Linked DNA regions of Anolis sagrei. The protein of the gene in region 1 interacts with the protein of each later gene in a pairwise test. Links are inferred from orthologs where the notes say so. Each region holds a gene or a part of one and is shown in the gene's direction. Other genes may lie near its edges. The genes, in order: LMNA, TMPO, IFFO1 and zinc finger protein 397-like.

Region 1 (7,964 bases):
GTCTAATCCCTCCCAACAGATGGCCACTCAGCTGTAGATTGATGGCCAGAGATATGGCTGACAGATGGAGAAAGAGATAGATGATTGAGAGAGAGAGAGAGAGAGAGTATATCATGGAATGCTGGAGTTGGAAGGGATCCCCAAGGGCCATCCAGTCCGGCCCCTTTCTGCCATCAAGAAAGACATCATCAAACTCCTCTCAACAGATGGCCACCTAGCCATAGATTGATGGCCAGAGATATGACTGACAGATGGAGAAAGGGATAGATGATTAAGAGAGAAAGAGAGATCATCGAATTGGAAGGGACCCTCCAGAGTCATCCAGCCCAGCCCCCTTCTGCCATCAAGGATGACACCATCAAACCCCTCCTGACAGATGGCCATCCAGCCATGGAGATGACTGACATGTGGAGAGGGAGAGAGATGATTGAGAGAGAGAAAGATCAATTCTAGAATGCTAGAGTTGGAAGGGATCCCCAAGGGCCATCCAGTCCGACCCCCTTCTGCCATCAAGGAAGACACCATCAAACTCCTCTCAACAGATGGCCACCCAGCCGTAGATTGATGGCCAGAGATATGACGGACAGATGGAAAGATAGATGATAGAGAGAGAGACCCTGGGTGTTGATCCCCAGCCTGCCGGTCCTGAAGGTCTTCCCTCCCAGGCAGGCCCCCAAGGCGTTATGGGGGGGGGAGCTCCCCCAAATGTGTTCTGGGCTCCTGAGCCGGATTCCCCCGCCGCCTGGGGGCTTCCCCCCCCCCTTGAGAGAAAGAGGGGAAGAGACTGGCCTCCGCTCTCCCTCCCCATCCAGCCGTGACTCATTCCTGCCGTGATGCGGGCCAGATATTAGATTACTGGCTCCTGTAAAAAAGCTGTCTGTGTGTATATGTGCGTGTGGCATGTATGTGTGCCTCTGTTGCCGTGGCGACGGGAGTGACTCACTGCCGGGAAACCGGTCTGGGTTTTCCTCCCTGCGTCCAGCTTGAGGCCTGTTTGGTCTCCTGGGAAGCCTCTCGTTTGCAAATGGGAAACAGCCCGGCACTGGGCTCTCCAAGGCGCTCTGAAGAATCCTCTGAGGGGGTCCGTAGCCACAGGTGCAGGCAAAACGTCAGGAAAGACGGACACTGGAACAGGGCCCGGAAACCCACAGCAACCCATTAAACAGTCAAAGAGTGTCGGGTGGGGTCTCCGGCCTGCGCCTGGCTCTTGTCTTCCCCAGTGTCTTCCTAGTTCTCGTTCCTATACAGTACTTTTGAGATTCCTTGTGTGATAGATAGATAGATAGATAGATAGATAGATGGAGGGATGAATGGGTAGGTAGGTAAGTGGATGAACAGACAGATAGATTGAAGTCGATAGGGAATTTGAAAGGGTCTAGTCAGAGGAGAGACCCTGCGGCCCCACCAAAGAGGGATTGCTACTTTGGCGAGTCAATCCGTCAACTCGCGGATATGGGGGCCCGAGGAGTTTCCGTATCCGCGGTTTGAAGGAACGCAGTTTCGGCATCCCAGGCAGGCCAGCGGCTTCCCGTGCCCCGGAAAAGGTTGAATTCATGCATTACATACTGGTGAGTCAGGAATGGGACACAATGTATCACTACAAAGAGGTGAAGGTTACAATTCAGTGAGTCTTTATTAAGGGTTTAGTTACAATGTTTGGGCAGGGGATCGCTACGTTGGAGAGTCGATCCGTCCACCCACGGATACGGGGCCCCGAGGGGTTTTCGTATCCGCGGTTTGAAGAAACGCAGTTTCGCCCTCCCTGGGACGCCTGGAAGGCATCCCAGGCGGTGAGTCAATCCGTCAACTCGCGGATACGGGGTCCCGAGGTGTATCCGTATCCGCGGTTTGAAGAAACGCAGTTTCGGCTTCCTTGGGATGCCTAGAAGGCATCCCAGGCGGGCCAGTGGCTTCCCACACCCCGGAAAAGGTTGAATTCATGCATTACATACTTGTGAGTCAGGAATGGGACACAATGTATCACTACGAAGAGGTGAAGGTTACAATTCAATTAGTCTTTATTAAGGGTTTAGTTACAATGTTTGGGCAGGGGAAAGAAACGAAAGGAGAGAGCTCAAGGTTGCAAAGAGTCACTGGTTTAGGCTGCTGCTGGGGCATATTTCATCAGCGCTTGCCCAATGGAGCATCCAAGGAACTGCGGAACCCCCTGCGGCTGGTCAGATGAGCTTGAAAGCAGGGGGCTGGGGTGCCCTTGGCATCAAGATGACAGAGAGTGAGGTACATAAACATGGGCAGATTGATGCACAAGGATGCACAGTGGGTGCTGGTGAACTACAACTCCCATATGCAAGTCCCATCATCCATGGTCATCCTCCTCTAAAGTGCACCAAGATGTGGAATGGGTCACGGGGGCTCTGTGTTCCAAGTTTCGTCGTGATCCGTCATTGGTGTGGGTTGCAGTGGTCTCAGGAAGTGAGTGAAGGTACTGCAAGTCCCATCGTCCATGATCCATCCTCCTCCAAACTGCACCAGGATGTAGATTGGGTCACGGGGGCTGACAAGTTTGGTCTTGATCAGTCATTGGTGTGGGCTGTAATAGTCTCAGGCAGTGAAGGTACTGCAAGTCCCATCATCCATGGTCATCCTCCTCCAAACTGCACCAGTATGTAGAGTGGGTCATGGGGACTCTGTGTGCCAAGTTTGCTCTTGATCCATCATTCCTGGTGGTCATAGTGGTCTCAGGAAATGAGTGAAGGTACTGCAAATCCCATCGTCCATGATCCATCCTCCTCCAAACTTCACCAGGATGTAGAGTGGGTCATGGAGGCTCTGTGCGTCCAGTTTAGTCTTGATCAGTCATTGGTGTGGGCTGTAATGGTCTCAGGCAGTGAAGGTACTGCAAGTCCCATCGTCCATGGTCCATCCTCTTCCAAACTGCACCACAATGTAGAGTGTTTCCTTATGGTGGTGTTTATGATCACTGGACAATGCCTAGAGAGATGGGTGGAGGGATGTGGAGAGAGCAGGCCTGGTGTTGTGGACTCCAACTCCCACAATTCCTAGATTGACTGGATTGACCTTGAAGGAGCTGGGGGAGGTGACGGCCGACGGGGCACTCTGATGTTGGCTGGTCCCTGAGGTCACAAAGAGTTGGAAACGACTGAACGAATAAACAACAACAAAAAAAATATTTATCAATTAGTTCAATTAGCCTCCCCGCATAAGTGGTACCTAAATTTCCTACTTGACAGAGGCAACTGTCTTTTGGGCTTCAAAGGGGAGCTGTCACTTCAACATCCACTTGTGACACTGATGGAGTACTTCCTCATTCCTTTGCATGTTGCTGGAGAGTTTTAGGGCATTATAAATTAGTTAAATTAGCCTAAATTTCCTACTTGACAGTTGCAACAACTGATCAAATGAACAACAAGAAAATTAGTTCAATTAGCCTCCCTGCATAAGCAGTACCTAAATTTCCTACTTGACAGAGGCAACTGTCTTTGGGGCTGCAAAGGTGGACAGCAAGCTAGACCAATGGTCGGGAGCTTACTCCAACCTGGGCTGGCTTTGAACTCAGTCGTGATTTTAATGCAGCTGGGTCCCAACCCGGTAGGCTGCTGGGAATGGTGGGAGTTGAAGTCCAGAACACGGGGAAGGAGGGAGGGAGGGAGGGAGGGAGGGAGGGCCCAAGTTGGCCCAGGCCTGGGAGAGGTAGAGAGTCTTGACTCCAAGGCAGGGCGAGGTGTATGTTGTGCGCAGGCGCGGCCTTGCTGTGAGCGGGAGGGAGGAAGCAGGGGGCGTGGCAAGAAGCAGGGGGCGTGGCCAGGAAGGCGTGTCTATTTGGGGGAGATGGAGAGCCTGGAGTCTTGAGGCGAGGCGTGCGTTGTGCGCAGGCGCGGCCTTATTGTGGGAGGGTGGGAGGGAGGAGGGGGCGTGGCGAGAAGGAGGGGGCGTGTCCAGGGAGGCGAGTCTATTTGGCCCAGAGAGAGAGTCTTATATTGAGCCTTGAGGCGAGGCGTGTGTTGTGCGCAGGCGCGGCCTTGCTGTGGGAGGGAGAAGGGGGCGTGGCGAGGAGGAGGGGGCGTGTCCAGAGAGGGAGTCTCTTTGGGAGAAATTGAGAGCCTGGAGTCTTGAGGCGAGGCGTGCGTTGTGCGCAGGCGCGGCCTTGTTGTGGGAGGGTGGGAGGGAGGAATCAGGGGGCGTGGCGAAGAGAAGGGGGCGTGTCCAGGGAGGGAGTCCCTTTTGGGATAGATAGAGAGCCTTGAGTCTTAAGGCAAGGCGAGGTGTATTTTGTGCGCAGGCGCGGCCTTGTTGTGGGAGGGAGGAGGGGGCGTGGCGAAGGGGAGGGGGCGTGTCCAGGGAGGCGGGAGAGAGAGAGTCTTATATTGAGTCTTGAGGCGAGGCGTGCGTTGTGCGCAGGCGCGGCCTTGTTGTGGGAGGGAGTGAGGAAGCAGGGGGCGTGGCGAAGAAGAGGGGGCGTGTCCAGAGAGGGAGTCTCTTTGGGAGAAATGGAGCCTGGAGTCTTGAGGCGAGGCGTGCGTTGTGCGCAGGCGCGGCCTTGTTGAGGGAGGGAGGAAGCAGGGGGCGTGGCGAAGGGGAGGGGGCGTGTCCAGGGAGGCGGGAGAGAGAGAGAGAGAGAGTCTTATATTGAGCTTTGAGGCGAGGCGTGCGTTGTGCGCAGGCGCGGCCTTGTTGTGGGCCGAGAGGGGGCGTGGCGAAGAGGAGGGGGCGTGTCCAGGGAGGGAGTCTCTGGGATAGAGAGTCTTGAGGCGAGGCATGCGTTGTGCGCAGGCGCGGCCTTGCCTTGTTGTGGGAGAGAGGGAGGGAGAGAGGAGGGGGCGTGGCGAAGAGGAGGGGGCGTGGCCAGGGAGGCGAATCTATTTGGGATAGAGAGCCTTGAGGCGAGGCGTGTGTTGTGCGCAGGCGCGGCCTTGTTGTGGGAGGGAGTGAGTGAGGAGGGGGCGTGGCCTGGGGGTGGGCGAGGCTATTTAAGGCGTGCTGCTCTCCTCAGCCGCGGCATTCCTGTCAGGATGGAGTCCTCGGTGGGCGGGAAGCGCGGCACGCGGAGCACTGGAGCCGGGGCCTCGGCCTCCTCGTCTTCTTCCTCCATGGGGACCCCTCTGTCCCCGGCTCGGATCACGCGGCTGCAGGAGAAGGAGGACCTGCAGGAGCTGAACGACCGTCTGGCGGTGTACATCGACAAGGTCCGCTCTCTGGAGTCGGAGAACGCGGGGCTGCGGCTCCGGATCTGCGAGTCCGAGGAGGAGGTCAGCCGCGAGGTCAGCGGGCTCAAGGGCGCCTACGAGGCCGAGCTGGCCGACGCACGAAAGACCCTCGACTCCGTCGCCAAGGAGCGGGCCAGGCTCCAGCTCGAGCTCGCCAAGACCCGCGAGGAGCACAAGGAGCTCAAGGCCAGGTCAGTCCGTCCCTCAGGGGGTGTCCACACTACAACTCCCAGCAGGCCTCAGGGGGAAAGGGTGCCAGGAATGATGGGAAATGGAGTCCCAAACACCTCAAGGGAAGAAGGCCCCCTTGCCAGGCCTGCCCCCCCCCTCAGGGGCGAAAGGAAAGGGCCCCAGGGTGCCAGGGATGATGGGAATTGGAGTCCAAAACACCTCAAGGGAAGGCCCCCTTGCCAGGCCTCCCCCCCCTCAGGAGAGTGGGACTACAACTCCCAGCATGCCTCAGGGGAAAAGGAAAGGGCCCCAGGGTGCCAGGAATGATGGGAATTGGAGTCAGAAGCTCCCCCCCCCCCAAGTAGATCTCAAAGGAAGAAGGCCAGCCCTAGAATCATATTGCCAGGCCTCCCCTTGACCTGCTTGGGACTACCACTCCCAGCATGCCTCAGGGGGAAAGGGGAAAGGATGCCAGGGTGCCAGGAATGATGGGAGTTGGAGTCCCCAACACCTCAAGGGAAGAAGGCCCCCCCCAAGTGGATCTCAAAGGAAGGAGGGAGGCCAGTCCTAGAATCATATTGCCAGGCCTCCCCTTGAATGGCTTGGGACTACAACTCCCAGCATGCCTTGGGGGGAAAGGAAAGGGCGCCAGGATGCCAGGAATGATGGGAATTGGAGTCCCCAACACCTCAAGGGAAGAAGGCCCCCTTGCCAGGCCTTCCCCCTCCCCTCAGGAGAGTGGGACTACCACTCCCAGCAGGCCTCAGGGGGAAAGGGGAAAGGAGGCCAGGGATGATGGGAATTGGAGTCCAAAACACCTCAAGGGAAGAAGGCCCGGGGGTCCCCACACACACCCTCTCGCCAGGGGACTACAACTCCCAGCAGGCCTCAGGGGGAAAGGATGCCAGGGTGCCAGGAATGATGGGAGTTGGAGTCAAAGGGGGCAGGCCAGCCCTAGAATCATATTGCCAGGCCTCCCCTTGACTGGCTTGACACTCCAACTCCCAACATGCCTTGGGGGAGGGGGGAAGGAAAGGGCACCAGGGTGCCAGGAATGATGGGAGTTGGAGTCCCAAACCCCCTCAAGGGAAGAAGGCCCCCCCAAGTGGATCTCAAAGGAGGCAGGCCAGCCCTAGAATCTTATTATAAATTATGAATTGTTATGCTATTTATTATTGTTAGGCCTCATCGGGAAGATACTTATATTATATGAATTACAAGCTATTTATATTATACTAGCCCTACCCTGCCACTCATTGCTGTGGCCAACCTTGCCTCCCTCTTTCTCTCCTTCCTTCCTTCCTTCCTTCCCTCCCTCCCTCCCTCCCTCCCTGTTCTTTCCCTTCCTCGTCTTTCTCTACCAGTTTCTTCCTTTGCTCTTTCGTTCCATCCTTCCTCGTCTCTTTCCTTCCTTTCTTCCTTCCTTCCTTTGCTCTCTCTCTCTTTCATTCCACCTCTCCTTCCCTCCTTCTTTCCCTTCTTTCTCTCCCTCCTTCTCTCCTTCCTTCCTTCTCTACCCTTCTTTCTTTCCTTCCTTCTCTCCTTCCCTCCTTCCTTCTCTACCCTTCTTTCTCTCCTTCCCTCCTTCTCTACCTTTCTTTCTTTCCTTCTCTCCTTCCTTTCTTCTTTCCCTCTTTCTCTCCCCCTTCTCTCCTTCCTTCCTTCTCTATCCTTCTTTCTTTCCTTCCTTCTCTCCTTCTCTCCTTCCTCCTTTTCTTCCACCTTCTTCCTTCTCTACCCTTCTTTCTTTCCTTCTTTCCCTCCTTCACTCCTTCTTTCCCTTCTTCTTTCCCTCTTTCTCTCCCTCCTTTCCTTCCTTCTCTCCTTCCCTCCTTCTTTCCTTCCTCCTGCGAGGAGCACAAGAAGCTCAAGGCCAGGTCAGAGGCCTCCCCTCAGGAGAGTGGGACTCCAACTCCCAGCATGCCTTGGGGGGAAAAAGGAAAGGGCCTGAGGCTGCCAGGAATGCTGGGAATTGGAGTCCAAAACACCTGGAAGGAGGGAGGGAGGGAGGGAGGGAAGGCCTACACCTCACAGCCACCCAACAATTATAAAACTATTAGTTATTTATAATGTGACAGATAATCACCTAATAAATAAAAATAATGAGTGAATATAAATATAGAATAAAATGATAATCAATAATGAAATAAATTGTGGAGAAAGGGGTATATAATAATCAAGTAATAGTAATATATGCATAGCCACTTTTAGTCTCCTTCCAGAGAAAAAAGGTTGCAAAGAAAACAATACTATATAATGATATATAGAGTCGTAGTAATGATATTTATTTATTGAGTCATCAGCAACCAGTCAATTATATTATAGTGATGATGATGATGATGATGATTACATGGAGGGGGGTGGAATCCTATTAAGTTTGCTGGGGGAACCTTGGATTCTTCCCAGGAAGGCCAGAGATCCCTTTCTGGGAAGGAAGCAAGGCAGGGCCGTTGAACCCCTTCCCCTCCTTTGCTGCACTTTTTGCAATGGAGTCGGACTAGATGCCCTTTGGGGGCCCCTTCCCAGCACCTTGCGGAGAAACCAGGCTTCCTTTCCCTCCATCTCCATTTTGGCAGCCCTTTCAGGGTGTGGCCGGGAAGCCATGTG
Region 2 (8,010 bases), on another chromosome or scaffold:
GAAAAAGAGGACAACTTACCAAACAGGGCCCCTAGGGGCAGGGTGCTCGGACGAGGTTATAATAGGACAAGGTTTGTCCTACTCAGAGGGGGCAAGGGTGATTGGAGGATTACTCACTGGGACTCTGACGCTCGGGTCCTATCCAGGGATCATCTCTCAGGAAAATAGGAGGAGTATTTTAGGCCTCACCTGTAGATTGGAGAAGAGTGTGAACGCCACTGGGGAGATTGTAAGGGCCTTACAGACTGAAGTTGAAGAGTTAAGCCAGATGATTATGCAGCAAAAGGTAGCTCTAGACTATTTGCTGGCTGCAAAAGGAGGTTTCTGTAAGATGGTGGGGCCCCAGTGCATAGTTAGGTTCCATAACCTGAACTCTACCATTAAGGATGATCTTGAAACGTTACACAACTTAATAAATGACAATGTAAAAGAAGATCTGAGATGGTCCCCCTTCTCGTGGTTAACCGATTGGTTGCCCTCAGGAACATGGATAAAAGAAATATTGATGATTTTTATGCTAGGCTTGTTTGTATTTTTCATCGTACTATGTTGTTCTCCCATAGTTATGCAAATGTGTACCAAGTATATGATTCAGACCCCAACGGTGGAAAAAGTTGCTATGTTTCAACCCAGTAAGACTTGGAGGGATCCATAAAATGTTTATATTGTTTTACTCAAATGATAATGTCATTTTCACATTTGTAGAATTGTTAAGATGGTTGTTTGATATTTCATTGTGGTCTACTGGAAGCTTTTCCAATTTCCCTAGAAAATTGGACTTCCGAGGTCGGACGGGTTTTTGAAAAAAAAAGGGGGGGGAATAAGGTGGAACTACAAAATGGAAGTTGGGGAAGTTACCAGTACTCATGGGATAGGGGGCAGTATGGGGTTAGGGAGGGGCTTGGCAAGGGTGGCAGGTGGTGATTGGATGTTTGGGTGGCAGGGGATGATTGGATGTTTATTAAACTGCACCACAACTTTGAACCAATGATTTTGTTCCGGGGCGGTCCTAAACCGAACCCCTTTGACTGTATAAAAAGGCCACATGGCTTGAGGCCTGTATCGTTTCCACCAGGCGCCATGTTGCGTAGGAGGCGACCCAGGCAGCTGCTTGACTTCTAAGTAAACTGCTTTCTTGAAAGAACCTGACTGCCTGTCTTGTTGTTCCTGCGCCCGCCGATTTGCAGCCTAGGAAAAAGATCATCCACTTCACTGTGATAATGCGGCATGTCTCATTAAGAGCCACATCCACTGTTTTAATGTGGTGAGATGTTTTCCACACTGGCATGCATATTCATCAGCAGAGTAGCAAAGCGCAAGGGCAGATGTCTTCACTCTGTCTGGTTGTGATCCACAGGTTGTGTCAGTCAGCTTTCATATAATATTATTTCTCTCACCCACTTTTTTTATAGCCAATCAGTGCTTCTTGTAGGTTAGAGCACAGTCCAGAGTGACTCCCAGGTATTTTGGTGTGCTGCAATGCTCCAGTGGGATTCCTTCCCAGGTAATCCTCAGGGCTCGAGATGCTTGTCTGTTCTTAAGGTGAAAAGCACACGTCTGCATTTTAGATGGATAAGGAATCAGCTGGTTTTCCCAATAATAGGCAGTAAGAGCACTTAAAGCAGTGTTTTTCAACCTGGGGGTTGCCAAAGACTATCAGAAAACAGTCCAGTACTGTTTCAGTAGTGCAGCGTTTCTCAACCTGAAGGTCAGGACCCCTGGGGGGGTTGTGAGGAGGTTTCAGAGGGGTTGCAAGACACCATCAGAAAACATATATTTCTTTTTTTTTTTTTTTAAAAAAGCTTTTTATTGAATTATATCATAGGTAAGTAAAGAATGGAACATCAAAAGTGAGAACAATTTTTGGATAGAAAAGCTTAGAAAAAGAGAGAAATTGGTAAAGAGAATGATTAAAGAAGGAAAAAAAGAAAATAAAGTAAGAAAAAAGGTTACATAAATGGTTTGACTTCCTTCTATTCTTCGGTGGCTGTAGAATTGTAATAGTTAGCCTTCCGAACGGGCAAAATGCAAAATCAGTCTAAGCATCCCTGTAATTTTTAATCTTCTTGTGAGTATTATTTTAGTCATATTAAGTCAATATTTAATTGCTTAAAGTAGTTTTTAACCAGGCCCCAGTTTATTTGTTTGTTTGGAAGTCCTTGGTTGGGAGTAATCCAGTAAGTAAACTTGTCCATGTTCATTACCTCCAAAACTTTCTTCAACCAGTCCTCTTTTTTAGGAAGAAAACATATATTTCTGATGGTCTTAGAAACCCCTTTGGCAGAGAAGGCTGAAGATCTCTCCGCCTGTCCTTTTCTTCCTTTCTAGAAAAAGCCGGGGAATCCTTCCACCAAAAGCCCTCTCCTGTGATTGACTGGCCTCTCAGCCAAGGGGAGGGCTGTTTCTGAGACTACAAGCAGGGGAGGGGAAAGCAGGCGTTCTCAGCACATGGCAGCGTGGTGTGCACTGTGGATGAGGGAGAGCGTTCGAGGCTGGAGGGAGGCTTGCACCAGCAAGTCTCTTCAAGGCATGGGAGTTCTGTGGAGGAAGTTTGTCCCAATTCTATCGTTGGTGGAGTTCAGAATGCTCTTTGATTGTAGGTGAACTATAAAACCCAGCAACTACAACTCCCAAATGTCTCTTTTCCCCATCTCCGCTAGTGTTCACATTTTGGCATATTGAGTATTTGTGCCAAGTTCGGTCCAGGTCTAGCATTGTTTGAGTCCACAGTGCTCTCTGGATGTAGGTGAACTACAATTCCAAAACTCAAGGTCAATGCCCACCAAATCCTTCCAATATTTTCTGTTGGTCATAGGAGTTCTGTGTGCCAAGATTGTTTCATTCCATTGTTGGTGGAGTTCAGAATGCTCTTTGATTGTAGGTTAATTATAAATCCCAGCAATTGCAACTCCCAACTGACAAAATCAAACCCCACCAGTTTTCAAATATGGGCATACTGGGTATTTGTGTCAAACTTGGTTCAGTGAATGAAAATACATTCTGCATAACAGATATTTACATTACAATTCATAACAGTAGCAAAAGTAGTTATGAAGTTGCAACTAAAATGATGTTGTGGTTGTGGGTCACCACAACAAGATGAACTGTATTAAGGGGTTGCATCTTAATGAACCTCTTGAGTGGTCAATATTTTCAAAAAGAGAAGTAGATAATCTCAATTTAGTCATAGCACATGTATATTTTGTTGAGATAAATCTATTAGGAAGGTCGAGAAACACTGGAGCAGGCAGAGTATGCATCCCATCTGAAATCCTGTGGTTGCCTCCCTTAGAATTCTGTTATGAAGTAGCAATGACAATAATTTTATGGTTGGGGATCACCACAACATGAGGAACTCTATTAAGGGGTCGTGGCATTAGGAAGGTTGAGAAACACTGACCTAAAACTTCAGAGAGCTTCTGTTCAACCATTAGCCTAAAGGTAATTTTATACATTATGCAGATGACACCACTTTGATAGCCGAAAGCGAGAAGGAGCCGAGGAGCCTTCTAATCAAGGTGAAAGAAGAAAGTGCAAAAGCTGGGTTGCAGTTAAACATAAAAAAACCCAAGATGATGGCAACAAGAATGATTGACAACTGGGAAATAGAGGAAGAAAATGTGGAGGCAGTGACAGACTTTGTATTTCTAGGTGCAAAGATTACTGCAGACGCAGACTGCAGCCAGGAAATCAGGAGACACTTACTTCTTGGGAGGAGAGCAATGTCCAATCTTGATAAAATAGTGAAGAGTAGTGACATCACATTGGCAACAAAGATCTGCATAGTTAAAACCATGGTATTCCCCGTAGTAAGCTACGGATGTGAGAGCTGGACCATAAGGAAGGCTGAGCAAAGGAAGATAGATGCTTTTGAACTGTGGTGTTGGAGAAAAGTTCTGAGAGTGCCTTAGACTGCGAGAAGCTCCAACCAGTCCATACTTCAAGAAATAAAGCCTGACTGCTCATTGGAGGGAAGAATAGTAGAGGCCAAGATGAAGTACTTTGGCCACATCATGAGAAGGAAGGAAAGCTTAGAGAAGACAATGAAGCTGGGGAAAATGGAAGGAAAAAGGAAGAGGGGCCGACCAAGGGCAAGATGGATGGATAGTATCCTTGAAGTGACTGGATTGACCTTGAAGGAGCTGGGGGTGGTGACAGCCAACAGGGAGCTCTGGCATGGGCTGGTCCATGAAGTCATGAATAGTCGGAAACGACTGAACAAATGAATTTTATACATATTTTAAATAATTTTGTGCATGAAACAATTCTTGTGTTCACTGAACCATAAGAAAGCAGAAGTGTCAGCCATCCATGTAGACGGAGTACGGATAAAGGCTGCTCAATTTGTTAGGTTAGCTTTGGTTAAGTTAGGTTAGCTTTGGTTAGGTTAGCGTAGCTTTGGTTATGTTTTAGGTTAGCTTTGGTTAGCTTAGCTTGGGTTAGGTCTGGTTAGCTTAGCTTTGGTTAGGTTTGTGTTCACTGAACCATCAGAAAGCAGAAGTGTCAGCCATCCATGTAGACGGAGTACGGATAAAGGCTGCTCAACTTGTATCTGGGTTGATTTCCCTCTCAGAAGTGCGCATTAGGCGAAGTGGATAATATCCACGGGAGTTTTTCACATAACACGTGTGCGTTTTGTCTCTTCCATAGCGCGCTTTTGTTTTGTTATTGTCCTTTGTGGCGAGAGATTAATTGCGCTTAAAAACCCTCTTTTAACATCAATGAAAAAGGGTCCTCCCCGGCCGAGCACCCACTCCCGCTTTGGAGCCTTGAGGGAGGCTGTTGTGGTGGTGGTGGTGGTGGTTGCCCGGGGCGCCTCTTCCTCTCCCGCCTGAGTCGAATTTAAAACTGCGTGACCAGAGCTCGCGCAAGGTACGGATTGATTGTGACGCGGCCCAGTGCGCGCGCGCGCACACACAAACAAGGCGAGCGGCTCTCCTCTCGGCGACGCAACCAATCCCAGGGCCGCTTCTCGCGCGCGGCAGCCAATCGCGGCGCACGTTATTGGCGGGCAGGCGAAGCCGTCCGTTGTGTGTTCTGTGTGAGCGTTAGGCGAGGGGGGCCGACCCTTCGCGAGGTTTCCTTTCTCTCCTTCCGCCCCTCCTCTCTTCCTGTCTCTCCCTCCCTCCCTCCCTGGGTGCACTCTTTGTTGGCGGGCCCTTCTCTCTCCGAGCCTGACGATGCCCGAGTTCCTGAGCGACCCGTCGGTGCTCACCAAGGAGAAGCTCAAGAGCGAGCTGATCGCCAACAACGTGAGTCTCCCCGGCGGAGAGCAGCGCAAGGACGTCTATGTGCAGCTCTACCTCCAGCACCTCACCGCCCGCAACGCCCCGGGGCCCCCCGCTCAGCCAGACTTCTCCAGCGACGAGGAGCGGGAGCGCGCCCCGGCCGCCAGGAACAGAGGAGGAGGAGGAGGGGGCGCGGCTGCAGCCTCCGCAGGCCGGGTAAGAAGCGACCCCCACCTCCCGCTTTCCCCGGAGCCCCCCTTCCTTCCCCAAGCGCTGAGGGGGCGGCGGAGTTTTCCCGCTTTTCTCACAGAGGGGGCGGCGCCATGTTTGGTCACTTGAGGGGAAGGCAAGGGAAGAGGAAGGGCCTCCCTCAGCCTCACTCGGGAGGCACCGTTTAATGCCTTTCAAACTCCCACAAAAGCGCGCGGAAGAAAAGCCCTTCGTGTGCCTCTGCGGTTTGGGATATTGCAGACATGGGCCAACTTGGGGTGTTTTGTACTCCAACTCCCACCATTCCTAACAGCCTCAGGCCCCTTCCTTTCCCCCCTCAGCCGCTTTGGAATGTTGAGGCTGGCCAATCAGAAGCCACACACAAATTAGTAGGTCGAGATAGCTCATACTTGGGCCCTCCCTTCAGGTGTTTTGGACTTCCATTCCCATCATTCCTAACAGCCTCAGGCCCCTTCTTTTTCTCCCTCAGCCGGACTTCCACTCCCATCATTCCTAACAGCCTCACGCCCCTTCTTTTTTCCCCTAAGCCGGACTTCCACTCCCATCATTCCTAACAGCCTCACGCCCCTTCTTTTCCCCCCTCAGCCGCTTAAGCGACTGAGGGGGAAAAAGAAGGGGCCTGAGGCTGTTAGGAATGATGGGAATGGAAGTCCAAAACACCTGGAGGGAAGGCCCAAGTTGGCCCATGCCTGATCTGCATCAGGGCCTCAAGTTGGTCCCAGGGTTTCCACCTGTGCACACAGAAGCCACTTTCTTCAATAAGTGTTTGAAGCAGCATTAAACGGTCAATGAAGATGGTGGGTCCTCCACTCGCTGCCTGCCTCCTCCTCCTCCTCTTACAGGCGTGTCCACAAGTCCCGCTCAGAAACGTTGAACTTGGTGGGCGTCCTGCCAGCCAGCGTCAGGCAGTTTCACTTCTGCAAATCTGCAGGAAGGCGTGCTGCCCTTGGCCTTCTGCCCGAGCGATAGTCTCGCCAGCCTCAGGAGACCTCCCGAGTAAATCTACTTCCAACTCCCACAATTCCAGCCAAAGTTTGTCCATGCCTGATCCACACTATAGAGCAGGCATGGGCAAACTTCAGTCCTCCAGGTGTTTTGCACTGAAACTCCCACAAATTCCTAAAAGCTTACCTACCGGCTGTTAAGAATTTGTGGGAGTTGAAGTCCAAAACACCCGGAGCACCAAAGTTTGCCCATGCCTGCTTTAGAGTGGCTCAGTGTTATGAAAACAGTAGGTTTGTAGTCTTCTCAGGCCAAGAATGTAGGCACCTCACCAAATGGCAACTCCCAGGATTCCATAGCAGTTAAAGTGGTCTCAAATTGCATTTTTTCTGCAGTGTGATGCACTCCTTATTTGTCAGGAGTGGGGATTGCTTCCAAGTACCCTGTTATTGTACTGTGAGTAATTCTGGAGGCCAGACTTTGTCTCCTCTGCTTTATAAACCCACCAGGTGACCTTAAGCGAATCACACACTCTCAGCCCTAGGAAATCCTTTGGCCCTCCGCCTGGGAGACAGGCTCGCCTTGGATCCTTGCGCTGCTGGGGAAAGCCTGTCAGGAGGCGGCTCGCGTTGCGGATCTGAAACACCAAGTGCATCAACACCAGGCATGGGCACACTTTAACCCTCCAGGTGTTTTGGACTTCCAACTCCCACAATTCCAGCCAAAGTTTGCCCATGCCTGATCAGTACTAGGGCATGCTTGCTGTAGAGTGGCTCAATGTTATGAAATAATGGAGATTGTAGTTTTACAATAGCTTTATCTTTCTCAGCCCAAGAGTGGGGACCTCACCAAACGGCAACTCCCAGGATTCCATAGCAGTTAAAGTGCTCTCAATTTTTTCTGCAGTGTGATGCATTCCCTGTTAGGCAGGAGTGGAGATTGCTTCCAGTACCTTGCTGTAGTGCTGTGAGCAACTCTGGAAGCCAGTTTCGACTGCCTGCGCCTTTTTAGAAACCCACTGAGTGACCTTGAGCAAGTCACACACTCACAGCCCTAGGAATAATTGGGAAGTGATTGAGGATGCACAACAACATACCTACTTCTTTCAAGCTCCTCTTTTGCTGTTCTCTCTATGGGTGCATAAATGGCATCCTGTCTCTATATAACTCCTTTAAAACACGCTTAAATTATGTTTCAATCCATCTGAAGGAGCCCCCAGTGGTTTTGGCCTTCAACTCCCAGAAACCACAGCTGGTTTACCAGCTGTTAGGATTTCTGGGAGTTGGAGGCCAAAACATCTGGGGACCCACAGGTTGAGAACCACTGGGTTAAAACCTTGTGCTGGCAGGACTGTTGACCAATAGGTCAGCAGTTCGAATCCAGAGAGAGCAGGTTGAGCTCCCTTTATCAGCTCCAGCTCCCCATGCTGAGTGATGCCTCCCGCAAGGATGATAAAACACCAAATATTCAGGCGTCCCCTGGGCAACGTCCTTGCAGATGCCCAATTCTCTCACACCAGAAGCGTCTTGCTGTTTCTCAAGTCGTTCCTGGCATGAAAAAAATCAATTTGAAATACTTCTAAATTTAAAAGGCACAATATGGTTTTCAG
Region 3 (7,345 bases), on another chromosome or scaffold:
TATATGTGGTTTTGTGTATGCGTTGCAATGTATTTTTTGGTTTTTGGCTTTTAAAGTCTCTTCTGTGTTTTTCAATGTTTTTATAAGTGATGGTCACTTGTTGGCCTGATAGGTGTCTTGTGTCCAAATTTCATGTCAATTCATCCAGTGGTTTCTGAGTTATGTTAATCCCACAAATGAACATTACATTTTAATTTATATAGATATGCAGCAGTTGTGTATGCCCCATGTTGATGTTTATGGCCTGACTAGAAATAAGTCATGACACTTGAAGGCACACAACAGCAAAGCCCAGATCTTGTATTATCCCCATCTGTGATGGGTTGAGATGATAATTTAATAATATATGGTCTTCCAAGTTAGCCTTACCATATTGTGAGGTTTTACTTACATTCCTTTCCTGTCCTAAATCCCTACCGGCAGATTTTCATGTTTTCCACAGCTGTTACATAACACTGGGCAGCTGCCACTATAGCTATGTCAGTGTTGTATGTGGGCCAACGTTTTAATACATAAAGTCTTTTTATATGGAGAAAGTTACTTGGAGCAGCTCTTGTGTTCCAGGTTTCCACACGTTGGCGAGATTTCTGTGGGAGATCCGCAATTCCCTTATAGCTTGCCCACTCTGCAAGTACCTTCTGCCTCCTGTCCACATTAATTTAATAGGGTTTTCTTAAGCAATGAATATTCAGAGGTGGTTTTGCTTCTACGCTGGGATTTATGAGTTATTCCCATCCAAGTACTAGCCAGAGCAGGCCCTGCTTGGCTTCCAAGATCAGCCAGAATGATTTATGTTCAAATCCAACCGTTTTTTAAAGGTGATCTTTTGGCAGGGGTGTTGTGTGGTTTCTGGGCTGTGTGGCCACGTTCTAGTGGAATTTTCTCCCAACATTCTGCCTGGCATCTGTGCCTGGCATCTTCAGAGGATCTTGATGTGGTCTGGGATTTGTTTTATTATATCAGAAGCGACTTGAGAAAACTGTAAGTTGTTTCTGGTGTGAGAAAATTGGTCGCCTGCAGAGACGTTGCCCAAGGGATGCCCGGATGTGCTACCATCCTGTGGGAGGCTTCTCTCGTGCATGGGAAGCTGGCAATTCAGCTGGCACAAGGGTTTAACCCACGGCTCCCTGGACCGGGGCTGAGTTGCTATCTATATATATAAAAATGCTCTGTGCATAATGAGTACCTTAAAAACAAAAGAACCAATGAACGAAATCACACCAAATTTGGCAACAAAATGTCTTACAACACAAGGAGTAACCATCACTCAAAAAATTATGATTTTGTCATTTGGGAGTTATAGTTGCTGGGATTTATAGTTCACCTACAATCAAAGAGCATTCTGAACTCCATCAACGATGGAAGTGAACCAAACTTGGCACACAGGACTCCCATGACCAACAGAAAATACTGGAAGGGTTTGATGGGCATTGAACTTGAGTTTGGGAGTTGTAGTTCACCTACATCCAGAGAGCACTGTGGACTCAAAAAATGATGGATCTGGACCAAACTTGGCACAAGCACTCAATATGCCTAAATATGAACACAGATGGAGTTTGGGGGAAATAGACCTTGACATTTGGTAGTTGTAGTCACTGGGATTCACAGTTCACCTACAATCAAAGAGCATTCTGAACCCCACAAACGACAGAATCGGGGCAAACTTCCCACACAGAACCCCCATGACCAACAGAAAATACTTAAGGCCACCCAATCCAACTCCCTTCATCAGGGCAAGAAAACGTAATCAAAGTCCTCCTGACAAAGAGCCATCCAGCCATAGATAGATAGATAGATAGATAGATAGATAGATATGATTCACACACACATGAAATGCCACCCCCAATATGCATTATATATGAAGAATTACAAAAACCAAACACCCATCCTTCCACATTCGAATCACTTCTATGGTGCCATATAAAATCCAGATTATTTGCTTTGAACTGGATTATATGGCAGTGTAGGCTCATCTAATCCAGTTCAAAGCAGATCATGTGGATTATCTACTTTGATAATAATATGGATTATATGGCCATAGCGACAGCTATGATGGAAGGAAGAGAAAGAAGAGATGAAAGCAATGCAGTAGTGGACCCAGGGTAGAAAGGACCTCAATTGCTCCCCCTCCCACAACACACCCGAGAGGCTAGCTGAGCCTGGGAGTTTTGGCATCAGTTACATTTTTAGGTTCCTCTGTGCAGGAGCTTGCCAAGACACGTTAGTATATTTTCTGCTTCTGAGCTGCTGGAAGAAGGTCATTCAAATGGACACCTAAAGAACATTTGAATCTCCCTCAAAGGACATTGTGTGAGTCAATGCTCACATGACTGTATATATGGAGCCCCTGGTGGTGCAGTGGGTTAAACGGCTGAGCTGCTCTACTTGCTAACCGAAAGTTTGCAGGTTCTAATCTGGGGAGTGGTGTGAGCTCCTGCTGTCATCCCCAGCTTCTGCCAACCTAGCAGTTTGAAAACATGCAAATGTGAGTAGATCAATAGGCACCAGTCCAGCAGGAAGGTAACGGCGCTCAATGCAGTCATGCCGGCCACATGACCTTGGAGGTGTCTATGGACAATGCTGGCTCTTTGGCTTAGAAATGGAAATGAACACCAATCCCCAGAGTAGGACAAGACTAGACTTAATGTCAGGGGAAAGCCTTTACCTTTTATTTATTTATTTACTGTATTTGTATACCGCCTTTCTCAGTCCATAGGCGACTCAAGGTGGTTATCAGGGAAAAATTCAATTCTTGCAATGTCATAAATACAATTAAAAACATAACAAATAATAAAAACCAAAAAAATCAGTAAAATATAAATTCATAGTGTATCCTCGTTAAAAAACGAAGTCATTTACAAATGCTTGTTCATAAGCCATGCCTTGACTTTTTTCCGGAATGTTAAAAGGGGGGTGGCCGATCTAATATCTATAGGGAGGGCATTCCATAGCCGAGGGGCCACCACCGAGAAGGCCCTGTCTCTTGTTTCCGCCAAATGTACTTGTGACGAAGGCGGTAACGAGAGCAGGGCCTCCACAGACAATCTTAAGGTCATAAGGGGAGGTGTGTTTGGACATGTAAGTTGGACCGAACCCATGTAGGCCTTTGCAGGCTAAAGCCAGCACTTTGAATTGTGCCCAGTGGTAAACTGGCAGCTAGTGGAGCTGGCACAGCAGAGGAGTTGTACGCTCCCTGACTGCTGTTCGTTGGACCATTTGAAGCTTCTGAACAGTCTTCAAAGGCAACCCCATGTAGAGTGCATTGCAGTAGTCTATATGGGATGTAACAAGAGCATGGACTACCATGGCCAAGTCAAACTTGCCTGTCGCTCTGCATAATAAAGCGTAAACACCTTGGTTTTACTGATCACCTGTGTGACCTATCTTTTCTCTAGCAAGACAATGTGTGGATTGATAAAGGTGCGAACTACGCCTTTGGACCGCCAGAAGATCCAACCAGTCCATACTTCAGAAAATAAAGCCCGACTGCTCATTGGAGGGAAGGATAGTAGAGACAAAGATGAAGTATTTTGGCCGTATTATGACAAGAAAGGAAAGCTTAGAGAAGACAATGATGCTGGGGAAAATAGAAGGAAAAAGGAAGAGGCAAGTTGGATGGATGGCATCCTTGAAGTGACTAGATTGATCTTGAAGGAGCTAGGGGTGGTGACGGCCGACAGGGAGCTCTGGCGTGGGCTGTTCGATGAGGCCACGAAGAGTTGGAAACGACTGAACGAATGAACAGCAATGCATGATTTTCATTCTGTCACAGACTCATTGAATCCAGCTCAAAGAAGATAATAGATTGTCTGCTTTGATAATGTGGAATTTTTTTTTGTAGTGTCAGGAGTGACTGCAAGTCGCTCCTGGTGTGAGAGAATTGTCCGTCTGCAAGGACGTTGCCCAGGGGACGCCTGGTTGATTTGATGTTTTTATCATCCTTGTGGGAGGCTTCTCTCATGTCCCCGCATGAGGAGCTGGATCTGATAGAGGGAGCTCATCCGCCTCTCCCCGGATTCGAACCTGCGACCTGCCGGTCTTCAGTCCTGCCGGCACAGGGGTTTAACCCACTGCGCCACCGGGGGCTCCGATATTGTGGATTATACGGCCATATTGACAGCTAGGAAGAAAGGAAGAGCAAGAAGGGATGTAAGCAATGCAGTCGTGGACCCAATGGGGAACCTCAGTTGCTCCCACCCAGCCCCGTGCGCACGCGCACTCCGCAGCCGCACCGCTCGCCCGCCCGCTCGCCCCCTTTTCCCCGGGATGCCCCGCCCCTTTGGAGGCAGCTGGCTCCGGATTGGGCGCCCCCGCGTCCTGGCCACGCCCCCTGGGCTCCCCATCCCGCCCGGCGCCGCAGTCCCCCCGCCGGGCGCCGCAGCCATGAACCCGTTATTCGGGCCCAACCTCTTCTTCCTGCCGCAGGCGGAGCAGGACTCTCCTTTCGGGCTCTTCCCGGGCGGAGGGAGAAGGGGCGAGGAAGAGGACGAGGAGGAAGAGTGGGGCCCGGCCTTCGGGGAGCCTTTCTCCTCCACCACCACCACCTCCTCCTCTTCCGCCATGGCGCTCCGCAACGACCTGGGCTCCAACATCAACGTGCTCAAGACCCTCAACCTGCGCTTCCGATGCTTCCTGGCCAAAGTGCACGAGCTGGAGCGCCGCAACCGGCAGCTGGAGAAGCAGCTCCAACAGGCCCTCGAAGGGGGAGGCAACGGAGGAGGGGGAGGAGGAGGGGGCAGCGCGCGGCGCTCCAGCATCTCCCGGCGCGACCAAGGCGTCCAGACGGGCTTCGTGGGGCCCATCCGCCCGCTGGGGCTGCCCTTGGCGGGAAGCATCGCCCCGCGGGTGCTGGGCTCCCCCAGTCCCAACCCCGCGCGGAGCTTGGCCTCCCCCGGCTGCCACCCGGGAGCCCCCTTGGCGCCCAGCAGCCTCGCCTCGCCTTCCTCCTCCTCCTCCTCCGCCTCGACGCGCTTCCTGCCGGGCACCATCTGGTCCTTCTCGCAGCCGCGGCGCCTGGGGCCCGGGCCGGAGACCACGCTGGTGCAAGGGCCCGGCGTCTCCTGGCTCCACCCGGACGGCGTCGGCGTCCAGATCGACACCATCACCCCCGAAATCCGCGCCCTCTACAACGTCCTGGCCAAAGTCAAGCGCGAGCGCGACGAGTACAAGCGACGGTGAGAACGGAAGAGAGGGATTGGAAGGGGTGGCATCCGGGGCACAGGAAGGGAGCTAGGCTCAGGCCTGGGCAGGCTTGGTGTTTTGGACTGCAGCTCCCATCATTCCTCACAGCCTCAGGTGCTCAGCCGGTTAAGAATGTTAGAATGTTGAGGCTGGCCAATCAGAACCCATATGCAAATTAATAGGTGGAGATCGCTCATGCACGGGCCAACTTGGGTCCTCACGGTGTTTTGGACGTCAACTCCCACCATTCCTAAGAGCCTCAGGCCCTTAGAGACTTAAGAATGTTAGAGGCTGGCCAATCAGAACCCATATGCAAATTAGTAGGTGGAGATCGCTCATGCACGGGCCAACTTGGGCCCTACAGGTGTTTTGGAACTCCAACTCCCACCATTCTTAACATCTTCATCCCCTCAGCCACTTAAGAATGTTAGAATGTTGAGGCTGGCCAATCAGAACCCATATGCAAATTAGTATGTGGAGATCGCTCATGCATGGGCGAACTTGGGCCCTCCAGGTGTTTTGGACATCAACTCCCACCATTCCTAAGGGCCTCAGGCCCTCAGCCACTTAAGAATGTTAGAGGCTGGCCAATCAGAACCCATATGCAAATTAGTAGGCGGGGATAGCTCATGCATGGGCCAACTTGGGCCCTCCAGGTGTTTTGGACCTCAACTCCCACCATTCCTAACAGCCTCGGGCCCTTTCCTTTTCCCTTTCATCTGCTTAAGCTTAAGGTCATTTTGAAATGTCAAAAGGGGGGCCAAAAGGGAAAACTTTTTGAAAGATCTGGCCTGAGAAAAAGAAATGGGCATCTTTAACAACTGGATCACTCTAACAACCACCATGTTGGACTATACAGAAAAGACATTTAAATCCACAAGCATCACTGTGCTGCTGTGAGTTTTCTGGGCTGCATGGCCATTTTCCAGAAGTATTCTCTCCTAACGTTTCGCCCACATCTATGGCAGGCATCCTCAGAGGTTGTGAGGTCTGTTGAAAACTAGGCCAGTGAGATTTATATATCCCTATAATGTCCATGCAGCTGTGGACAAGTCTACATAGGGACTACCAAACACAGCATTGCCCAAACACAAATCAAAGAACATGAAAGGCACTGCAGACTATTTCATCCAGAGAAGTCAGCTATAGCAGAGCTCCTGATGACCCAACCTGGACACAGCATATTATTTGAGAACACAGAAATGCTGGACCACTCTCACAACCACCATGTCAGACTGCACACAGAAGCTACTGAAATCCACAAGCATGTAGACAATTTCAATTGAAAGGAGGGAATCATGAAAATCAACAAAATCTGGCTACTAGTATTGAAAAACTCTAAAATCAGGACAGTGAATAAAGTGCAACACTAAAAAAAACCCCAAAACAAAACAAAAAAAACAGAGGAATTCCAGACAAGAAACAATCAGGGCTAGATAACACCTCTCAACAAAGGATCCCCCAGGCAGTTACCAGCCAGGCTTTGAAGCTGCAAGGCCATTAAACACTAATCAAGGTGGCCAGTTGCAACATTCACACTTGCCTCAAGCAGTTCTTTCTCTCACCCTGGACATTCCACAGATATATAAACCTCATGTGCCTAGTTTCTAACAGACCTCACAACCTCTGAGGATGCCTTCCATAGATATGGGTGAAATATCAAGAGATAATGCTTCTGGAACATGGCCATAGAGCCCGGAAAACTCACAACAATCCAGAAAGGGGCAAATTCAGCCTAAACTCAGGGCTTCTGACTGGAGAGCTTCCCTTCTCAGAAGGGAAAGGGGCACTGCATTTCTTGAATCAGAACCTGTCCAAATATCACAAACCTGGCTTCATGGGTCTGGGAACAGGGTTGCAGAGAAGTATTGCCTCTCTCTCCCTCTCTCTTTGTGTCTCTTAAGAGTGAGAAGGAGAGAGACAACATTGGTTAGACCACATCTGGAATACTGTGTCCAATTCTGGGCACCACAATTCAAGAGAGATATTGACAAGCTGGAATGTGTCCAGAGGAGGGCAACTAAAATGATCAAGGGTCTGGAGAACAAGCCCTATGAGGAGCGGCTTAGGGAACTGGGCATGTTTAGCCTGAAGAAGAGGAGGCTGAGAGGAGATATGATATCCATGTATAAATATGTGAGAGGAAGCCACAGGGAGGAGGGAG
Region 4 (7,557 bases), on another chromosome or scaffold:
CTTTTACGTGTATTGTACACCGCCATGAGTCGCCCTAATGGGCTGAGAATGGCGGTTAATAAGTGCATCAAATAAATAAATAAATAAATAAATAAATAAATAAATAATTTATATTACTTGATAAGGTAAAGGTTTCCCCTGACATTAAATCTAGTTGTGTCTGACTGGGGGGGGGGGGGGTGCTCATCTCCATTTCAGAGCCAAAGAGCCGGCGTTGTCCATAGACACCTCCAAGATCATGTGGCCAGCACGACTGCATGGTGTACCGTTACCTTTCTGCAGAAGAAGTACCTATTGATCTACTAGTGTTTGCATGTTTTCAAACTGCTAGGTTGGCAAGAGTTGGACTGGCAGCGGGAGCTCACCCAACTCTCTTGATTTGAACCATCAACCTTTCAAGTCAGCAAGTTCAGCAGCTCAGTGGTTAAACCCGCTGTGGCACCGGCGACCCATATTTCTTGGTACCCCATCACATATCCATGGAGAAATATTTTAGTATATTTTAGATACCATTTCTTGTCTTTCTATCTCTGAACATGACAAGTGTTCATCTCATCTATTTACATGATTGCACAGTGCAATACAAAGAGGCCCAGCAGGCATGAGAGGGCTTCACCTCTGATATCAAAAGTGTTCATTTCAATTAAATGTAAGTGAGCCTCCATCTTTGGAGTCAGTCTACTTACTGCAGGCCTGAACCTGGGAGGAGGGGTGCGGTCCTTCCGAGCCTCACGGGAGCGGTTCCTCACCACCTTGCTGTGGATGGCACAGCTCACGCAATAGTGAAGCTTCACATAGAGCTTGGGCAACACATAGGCTGGGAAAAGAGGGACAAACAGCAGGGTCAGAACTACAGTCATTTCAGAAAGGTCCAAGTCAGCCAGGCACTTCCAGCAACGCCTCTATGTCTCCCTGTGGGTGAAAAACTTTCCAAAGGAAAATGATTTGTAAGAAAACACTTTTAATTGTTCCCCGGAGTTTAAAATCATATACAGCCTTCAGGTTTATTCAGGCAAAAACAACACATGGTGAACATCCAACTTGTTTCAGTTAGCAATCCGTGACAGATGGATCTACTCTTTTTCCACACAAAGACTTTTTCTTTTCAGTTATGGTGGTTAAATAACATGTCTTGACAAGATATCTAATCACACTATTCATTTACTTATTCTGACGAATTTTGCAAGCCATCTACAGCTTGGGACTTGCCTCCCACTTAGGTTTATTTATGTTATTTGCTCTTAAATTTTCAGGGCCTGGGGAGGGGGCGGGGAAACCTTGCAAAACTGTCCCCTGGAAGATATTGGAGAATTGTTCAAAAATGGAGCTGAGGTAAGAGGCCACAGAGCCTTGCCACTCTAGCAGCTCCTCTGTACAGTCCCACAACATCATCCTTTAATTTTGTATCTCATCACTTACAGAATGGTAAAATAAAACATGTGTGGTGGCAGAAAGTACTTACAGTCAAAGACGCTTGCTTCGGAGATGTCTCTGACAGCAGCTGCCTCTACAATGTTTCGGATGACAAACTTCTTAATAGCCTTATCCTTGGGGACACAGCGGGCACAGTTGGTACAACGAATAGGCTGGACATGCCCACGGCCCTTCTTGGCGCGGCCGTTGTTCCTTCTCTTCTTCGTCTGTTGAAACAGAAAAGAAAACATTAATAGGTGCCCATATCCTTCCCTGAGATCACATATGACTAATGTAAGCAAACTATCGGGCAAACAAGAGTGGAACCTATGCTGAAGTAAGTAGCCTCGGTTATCTTGCATAGGTTATGTATATAGCATTCATCCTTGTTGTTCTGTACCTTCAATATATGGCAACCCCTTATCATTGGGTTTTCTTAGCAGGATTTGTTTAAAGAAGGTGTTCCATTGCCTTCCTTTGAGGCCAAGTATGACTTGCACAATATCATGTAGTGGACTTCTGCACTAAGATGGTTGCTCAAGTTACCCAAATTCCAAAGTAATTCAAAACTCCATGTTCAATACATCTCTAGACTACAAAAAGACTAGAATCACCATAATCCCTTACTTGTGAGCTTCTGGATAAGAGCACCAGTTTCTCACAACATCTATGAGGGCAACTAGTCTAATAGCATGTAAAAGGAGGCCTGATACAGTCATGATAGTTGGATGGGGCCTCAGGGCTGTGATCTGATATTAGACAGAAGTAATAAGGCCAAACTACTATTTCTTGAAATGACTGTTCAATTTCATGGCCCTTACTTAAGTTTGATCTAGCAAGGCTTTCCTATATCCCAGCTAACGAGAGAGGACTTAGAAGATGCATATGCTTCATTTTTTAGTTAAACAGCAGCTCCACTAAAGTTATTTCCTGTTTTCAACAGGGGATTTTTTCTTTAAAAATTTAAGAAAAGGCTGGACTAGATGAGACAATAGGACAATGGCAGATGCATAGCACTATTTTATGTACTTATGCAACTCAACATTAGTTACAAATTTGAACTAAAGGCAATTCTGAGCCTTTGACAGAACAGCAATCTCAAAGTATCCAGCCAACCAATCCATTTATTTATTTTCCACCCTGGAGGGGACTCACATATAAGGCACAATTCGATGCCACACAAAAATACGTACAACAAAAATAAAAATATACACTAATACCACTAAAAACATCTCAAACATTAAAGCCAATTATTAAAATCATGTAATCCAACATCATAGTCCGAGACCATTCCAGCTGTCATTGCACCATTCTGCATTCACCTATTGCACTGAGATTAATGTCTGAAAGCTTGGTTCCACATCCATGTTTTTAGTTTTCTGAACACTGGGAGGGGGCTGAACTGCACTAATTAGGGAGGGAGTACCACAAGTGAGGGGCCACCACTGAGAAGACCCTGTCTCTCATCCCCACCAATCGCACCTGTGAAGGAGGAGGGACCAAGAGCAGGGCCTCCCCACAAGATCTTAACCTCTGAGATGGTTCATAGGGGGAGAAACGTTTGGACAGGTTAGCTGGGCCGGAACCATTTAGGGCTTTGTAATCTAGATATACGTTTTGTTCAACAACAACTGTTCTATTTCTTGCCTTTAAAGCCTTTACTAAGGCCTTGCATTCATTTTCAATTTGACTTAACAGTTAAACAGGTATTTGGCTGCCTTGTTTCATTGAAGTGAGGCATGACCAAACCCCCCTCCCATTTCCCTGCTCACACTCTCTCCAGATTGGCTCAGTCTCAGGTGTCGTCATGTATCCATGGGGGCACCTTCACTGTGGAATTATTTATTTATTTATTTGCGATACTTATAGCCCGCCTTTCTCAGCCATACGGCGACTCAAGGCGGGTTACAGATCGGCACAGCTCAGTCTCAGGCATTCATAAAAGTGCCATTAAAAACGATCAACATTACAATATAAAACATATAAAAACCATTAAAGCATATAATCATCGGTGTCATCCTGTTAAAAACATTATCCAGAAACATCGTCTGGCCACTCCATGTTCATCATTCATAGTTCTGTGTTATCCATTCCACTGCATTCTCAAAAGCTTGCTCAGAGTCAGGTCTTTCCTTTTTTCTTTTTTGGAAAATCATGAGGGAAGGAGCTGATCTAATATCTCTGGGGAGGGAGTTCCATAGCTGGGGGGCCACCACTGAGGAAGCTGTCCTTCGTCTCTGCCAATCGCACATGCAAGGCAGGCGGGAGCGAGAGCAGTGTTTGACACCACTTTAACCTGGTTCAATGCTATGGAATCCTGGGAGTTAATAGTTGGGGAGACACCAGCCCTCTTTGGCAGAGAAGGCTAAAGCCCTTGTAAAACTACAACTCCCAAGATCCCATAGCACTGAGCCATGGTAGTTAAAGCGGGGGTCAAACTGCATTAACTCTACGGTAAAGGCGTATTTTTAAAAAACCACACAGAATGTATATCTCGTTAATCAAAGTGGCAATCACCAGAGGGCCTACAAGCAAGTTGTTGCGAACACAAACAGGCACCACAACGGCGAACAGCGCTTTTTATTATTTCCTCTTGAAATTGGGCCCGAACGAGGCCTCGCGTTCTCAGACGTCACTTCCTCCCGGTCGGGAGGCCTAGAGAGAGCGCGAGGCGTGAAACTTCCGCCTGCTGGGAGCCTCGCGCCTCAACAGAACGGGGGCCCAGCTACCGTATTCTAACGGGGGAAGGGGAGAGCGTACCATTTCCAAGGGGGGGGGGGGATGGCTCACTTGGAAGATTCGCAAGGAATCTGTTACAAGGAGATGGTAGGCCATGGCTATTGTATTCACCCACCCCAAAACCCCAGCTTACACGGATACCCTCAAAGATGACCGCAGCTCGTGTTAATTATTCCTATCCCAAAGCCCCCCCCCCCTTCTTTTTTGCCGAGCCTTCTGCTGTCCCCTAATAATCCCAAGGCCTGCTCCCAGTGGCGCGTGCGCTACCCACCATTTCGACGCTGAGGAGGCGAAAGAGGGTCCGGCTTCCCCTCCGCCGCCCTTATATGCGCTCCCTCCGCAGGACGGAAGTGCTTCGCCCACACTTTCCTTCTACAACGCGAAGGGAGAAATAATCCCGAAGGGAAAGAAAACGCCCTTCACGCCACACTGACCGAAAAGGGAATTCAATCTCACTTCCACCCCGGTAAGTTTTAACCCCTGCAATGTTTTTGGACGGGACTATTTTTCCTCCTCTCTGGAGCGGAAGGTTATTCTCAAGAAAGACGTAATTCTCCCACAATGCATCAGCGGCGGATGCCCCACGGCTTCTCTTGGAGAGATGCATGCTGGGAGTTGTAGTTTTGCCCAGTTTTATTCTAAAACTAGCTGTACCCGCCACGCGTTGCTGTAGCCAACCTTCCCTCCTTCCTTCTCTTCCATTTCCCTTCTCTCTCCCCCCCCCCTTTTTCTTTCCCTTTTGCTTTCTCTCCTTTCTTCTCTACCAATTTTTGGACTGCAACTCCCAGCAGTCCTCCTGATCGATCTATCTATCTATCTATCTATCTATCTATCTATCTATCTATCTATCTATCTATCTATCTATCTATCTATCTATCTAATCTGTCTTATCTGGAGGACTGCTGGGAGTTGCAGTACAGGAATAGGAATTTGGAAATATGTAGGGATTGGGATGCTCTCAAAGAAATCCAAGAAGAAAGCTTGTAGCTTGGAAGCAGTGCATTTGGATCATCCTCCTCCCCTAAAGAGCCTGGTCTAGGGGGTGCTGGGAGCTGTAGTCCAAAAGAGAGTGTGGATATGCGATTGTCATCACCATCATCATTTAATTATTTATTAATCGCCCTCCATCCAAGATGCTCTAGACGATTTACAAGCTAAAATTGTAAAGGATAAAAATACATACATACAGATATTGATAAAAGATCAAAAGCTCTAGTAAAAAGCCAGGTCTTGAGTGCTAGGGTAAAAGGCCCTAACTCACGCATGGCTCTCATATAGGGTGGCAAGGAACTCCATAAGGCAGGGGCAGAAATAGAAAAAGCTCTGCGTCTGGTCCTTTCCAAGTGCACTTCTCTAGGACCCGGTATATAAAGTAAGTCACTTTGGGATGGTCGTTGCGACCTCCGATGATGGGAGAATGAGAGACGGTCCCTAAGATACGATGGACCCTGGCCGTAAAGAATTTTAAAGGTCAGAACTAGCATCTTATATAGACCACGGTAATCAGTTGGAAGCCAGTGCAAATGCCGCAACACTGGTGTTATATGGCATTTCATGGATGTTCTTGTGAGTGTTTTGTTTTCCAGGGGAAGTCGTTTTGTGCATGTGCTGTTGCGTCTTTTTGCTTTTTTGGCTTTTTAAGTCCCTCCCATTGTGTTTTTACGAGTGATGGTGACTCGCTGGCCTGATAGGTGTATAGTGTCCAAATTTGATGTCAATTCATCCAGTGGTTTTTGAGATATTAATCCCACAAACGAACATTACATTTTTATTTAGATTGGGAAAGGCATATGGCAGGTTTGTATACTCTCACCCAACCTATTCAATTTGTATGCAGAACACATGCGATGTGCAGGGCTTGTCGAATGCAAGGCAGGGGTTAAAATTGCTGGATGAAACATTAACAACCTTAGATATGCAGATGATACCACTTTGATGGCCAAAAGCAAAGAGGAGCTGAGGAACCTTATTACCAAGGTGCAAGAAGAAAGTACAAAAGCTGGGTTGCAGTTAAACGTAACCCCCCCCCCCCCCAAGATTCTGGCAACCTACGGATGTGAGAGCTGGACCATAAGGAAGACAGAACGAAGGAAGATGGATGCTTTTAAACTGTGGTGCCAGCTGAACTGCTGACCTGAAGGGTGGTGGTTCAAATCCGCAAGACAGGATGAGCTCCCGTCTGTCAGCTCCATCTTCCCATACAAGGATATGAGAGAAGCCTCCCACAGGATGGTAACACATCCAGGCATCCCCTGGGCAACATCTTTGCAGACAGCCAATTTTCAAGTCACTTCTGACACAATAAAAAAACCCTATTGCATGGCTGCTGAGAATGGGTTCTGGTGTAGGCATAATTCAAGATTCTTTATATATCCATTAGCCAAGATGCACAGCTGTTTATCCCATTATGGGTTGCTTTGGATATTACGGTAAGTGTCCACAATAAGATTTTAAAGGGGCAGCACCACAGGATGACCCAGACCAATTTAGCATGACACCCCCCCCCCCCCCACCAATACTAGTATTTCATAGAAGATATTAACTCTGTGTTGCATGTACAAACTTGAACAACTTTGAGTTTCTTTCCTGCACAGTGATGTGATCTCCTGTTATCTTGATTGTTGACCGTGAAGTCTGGGCAGGACAGGGACTGTGGTCAGCCTGAATCCAGCTTTGGGGGGGGGGGGGGAGCACCAAATCACTGGAATGCTCTACCAGAAGCGATTAGACCTGCCTCCACCCTCATGTCTTTTAGGAAAATTTTGAAGACTTTCCTGTTTGGAATAGCTTTTAACTGATTTGTGGCAGAAGCCTGGGATTTGCATGTTATAATTATATTTTATCTCCTTGGGGAATTTTTAGAATGTTTTTGCTTATTTTATGATAGTTTTTATGTCTTACGAGGAAGATTATATAAACTATTCGGGGCTAGTTTTAATGGTCTCTGTTCTATTGTATGTTTTGATGCTATTGTAAACCGCCTTGAGTCCATTGGGGAAAGGTGATACAGAAAATTCCCAAATAAATAACTAAATAAATAAATGTGATGTATCAATAAAATTAACAAGAACTGCAACCACTGTATTACAACACAACCAGGAAACTCCAGGGGACCTTAAAAACTCAAAACTATGTTTAACCCTGTGTCATGTTTCAAATAATCATGGAAATTGTGTCTTAGATGTTGCCTTATTGTGGCATACTCACAATATTGTGTATTGGGAAATATTGGTATTTGGAAAATATTGGTTTTTGTACTCTGGTTTCCAGAATTCCCCAGCTACCAATTCTTTTAGCTTCCTCTCACATATTTATGCATGGCTATCATGTCTCCTCTCAGCCTTCTCTTCTTCAGGCTAAACATGCCCAGCTCTTTAAGCTGCTCCTCATAGGGATTATTCTCCA

What was found.
Region 2: the proteins of LMNA (region 1) and TMPO interact in a two-hybrid assay, tested with the Homo sapiens proteins (2 studies listed by BioGRID, with this or other methods). The link is inferred for Anolis sagrei from reciprocal best matches to the Homo sapiens genes LMNA and TMPO.
Region 3: the proteins of LMNA (region 1) and IFFO1 interact in binary tests that used the Homo sapiens proteins (3 or more experiments, as listed by UniProt). The link is inferred for Anolis sagrei from reciprocal best matches to the Homo sapiens genes LMNA and IFFO1.
Region 4: the proteins of LMNA (region 1) and zinc finger protein 397-like interact in binary tests that used the Homo sapiens proteins (3 or more experiments, as listed by UniProt). The link is inferred for Anolis sagrei from reciprocal best matches to the Homo sapiens genes LMNA and ZSCAN12.

What each region holds. Positions count from the first base shown.
Region 1 is NC_090032.1:22,671,898-22,679,861, forward strand, and holds the start of LMNA (lamin), read left to right. Parts: upstream 1-4,961; 5' UTR 4,962-4,991; coding exon 4,992-5,377; intron 5,378-7,964.
Region 2 is NC_090025.1:156,775,851-156,783,860, forward strand, and holds the start of TMPO (thymopoietin), read left to right. Parts: upstream 1-4,995; 5' UTR 4,996-5,180; coding exon 5,181-5,444; intron 5,445-8,010. UniProt on the Homo sapiens protein: May help direct the assembly of the nuclear lamina and thereby help maintain the structural organization of the nuclear envelope. Possible receptor for attachment of lamin filaments to the inner nuclear membrane.
Region 3 is NC_090022.1:197,318,754-197,326,098, reverse strand, and holds the start of IFFO1 (non-homologous end joining factor IFFO1), read left to right. Parts: upstream 1-4,332; 5' UTR 4,333-4,383; coding exon 4,384-5,174; intron 5,175-7,345. UniProt on the Homo sapiens protein: Nuclear matrix protein involved in the immobilization of broken DNA ends and the suppression of chromosome translocation during DNA double-strand breaks (DSBs).
Region 4 is NC_090022.1:146,674,419-146,681,975, reverse strand, and holds the start of zinc finger protein 397-like, read left to right. Parts: upstream 1-4,552; 5' UTR 4,553-4,618; intron 4,619-7,557. Other genes in the region: RPS26 (small ribosomal subunit protein eS26), read right to left, coding at 687-817, 1,463-1,640, 4,424-4,426. UniProt on the Homo sapiens protein: May be involved in transcriptional regulation.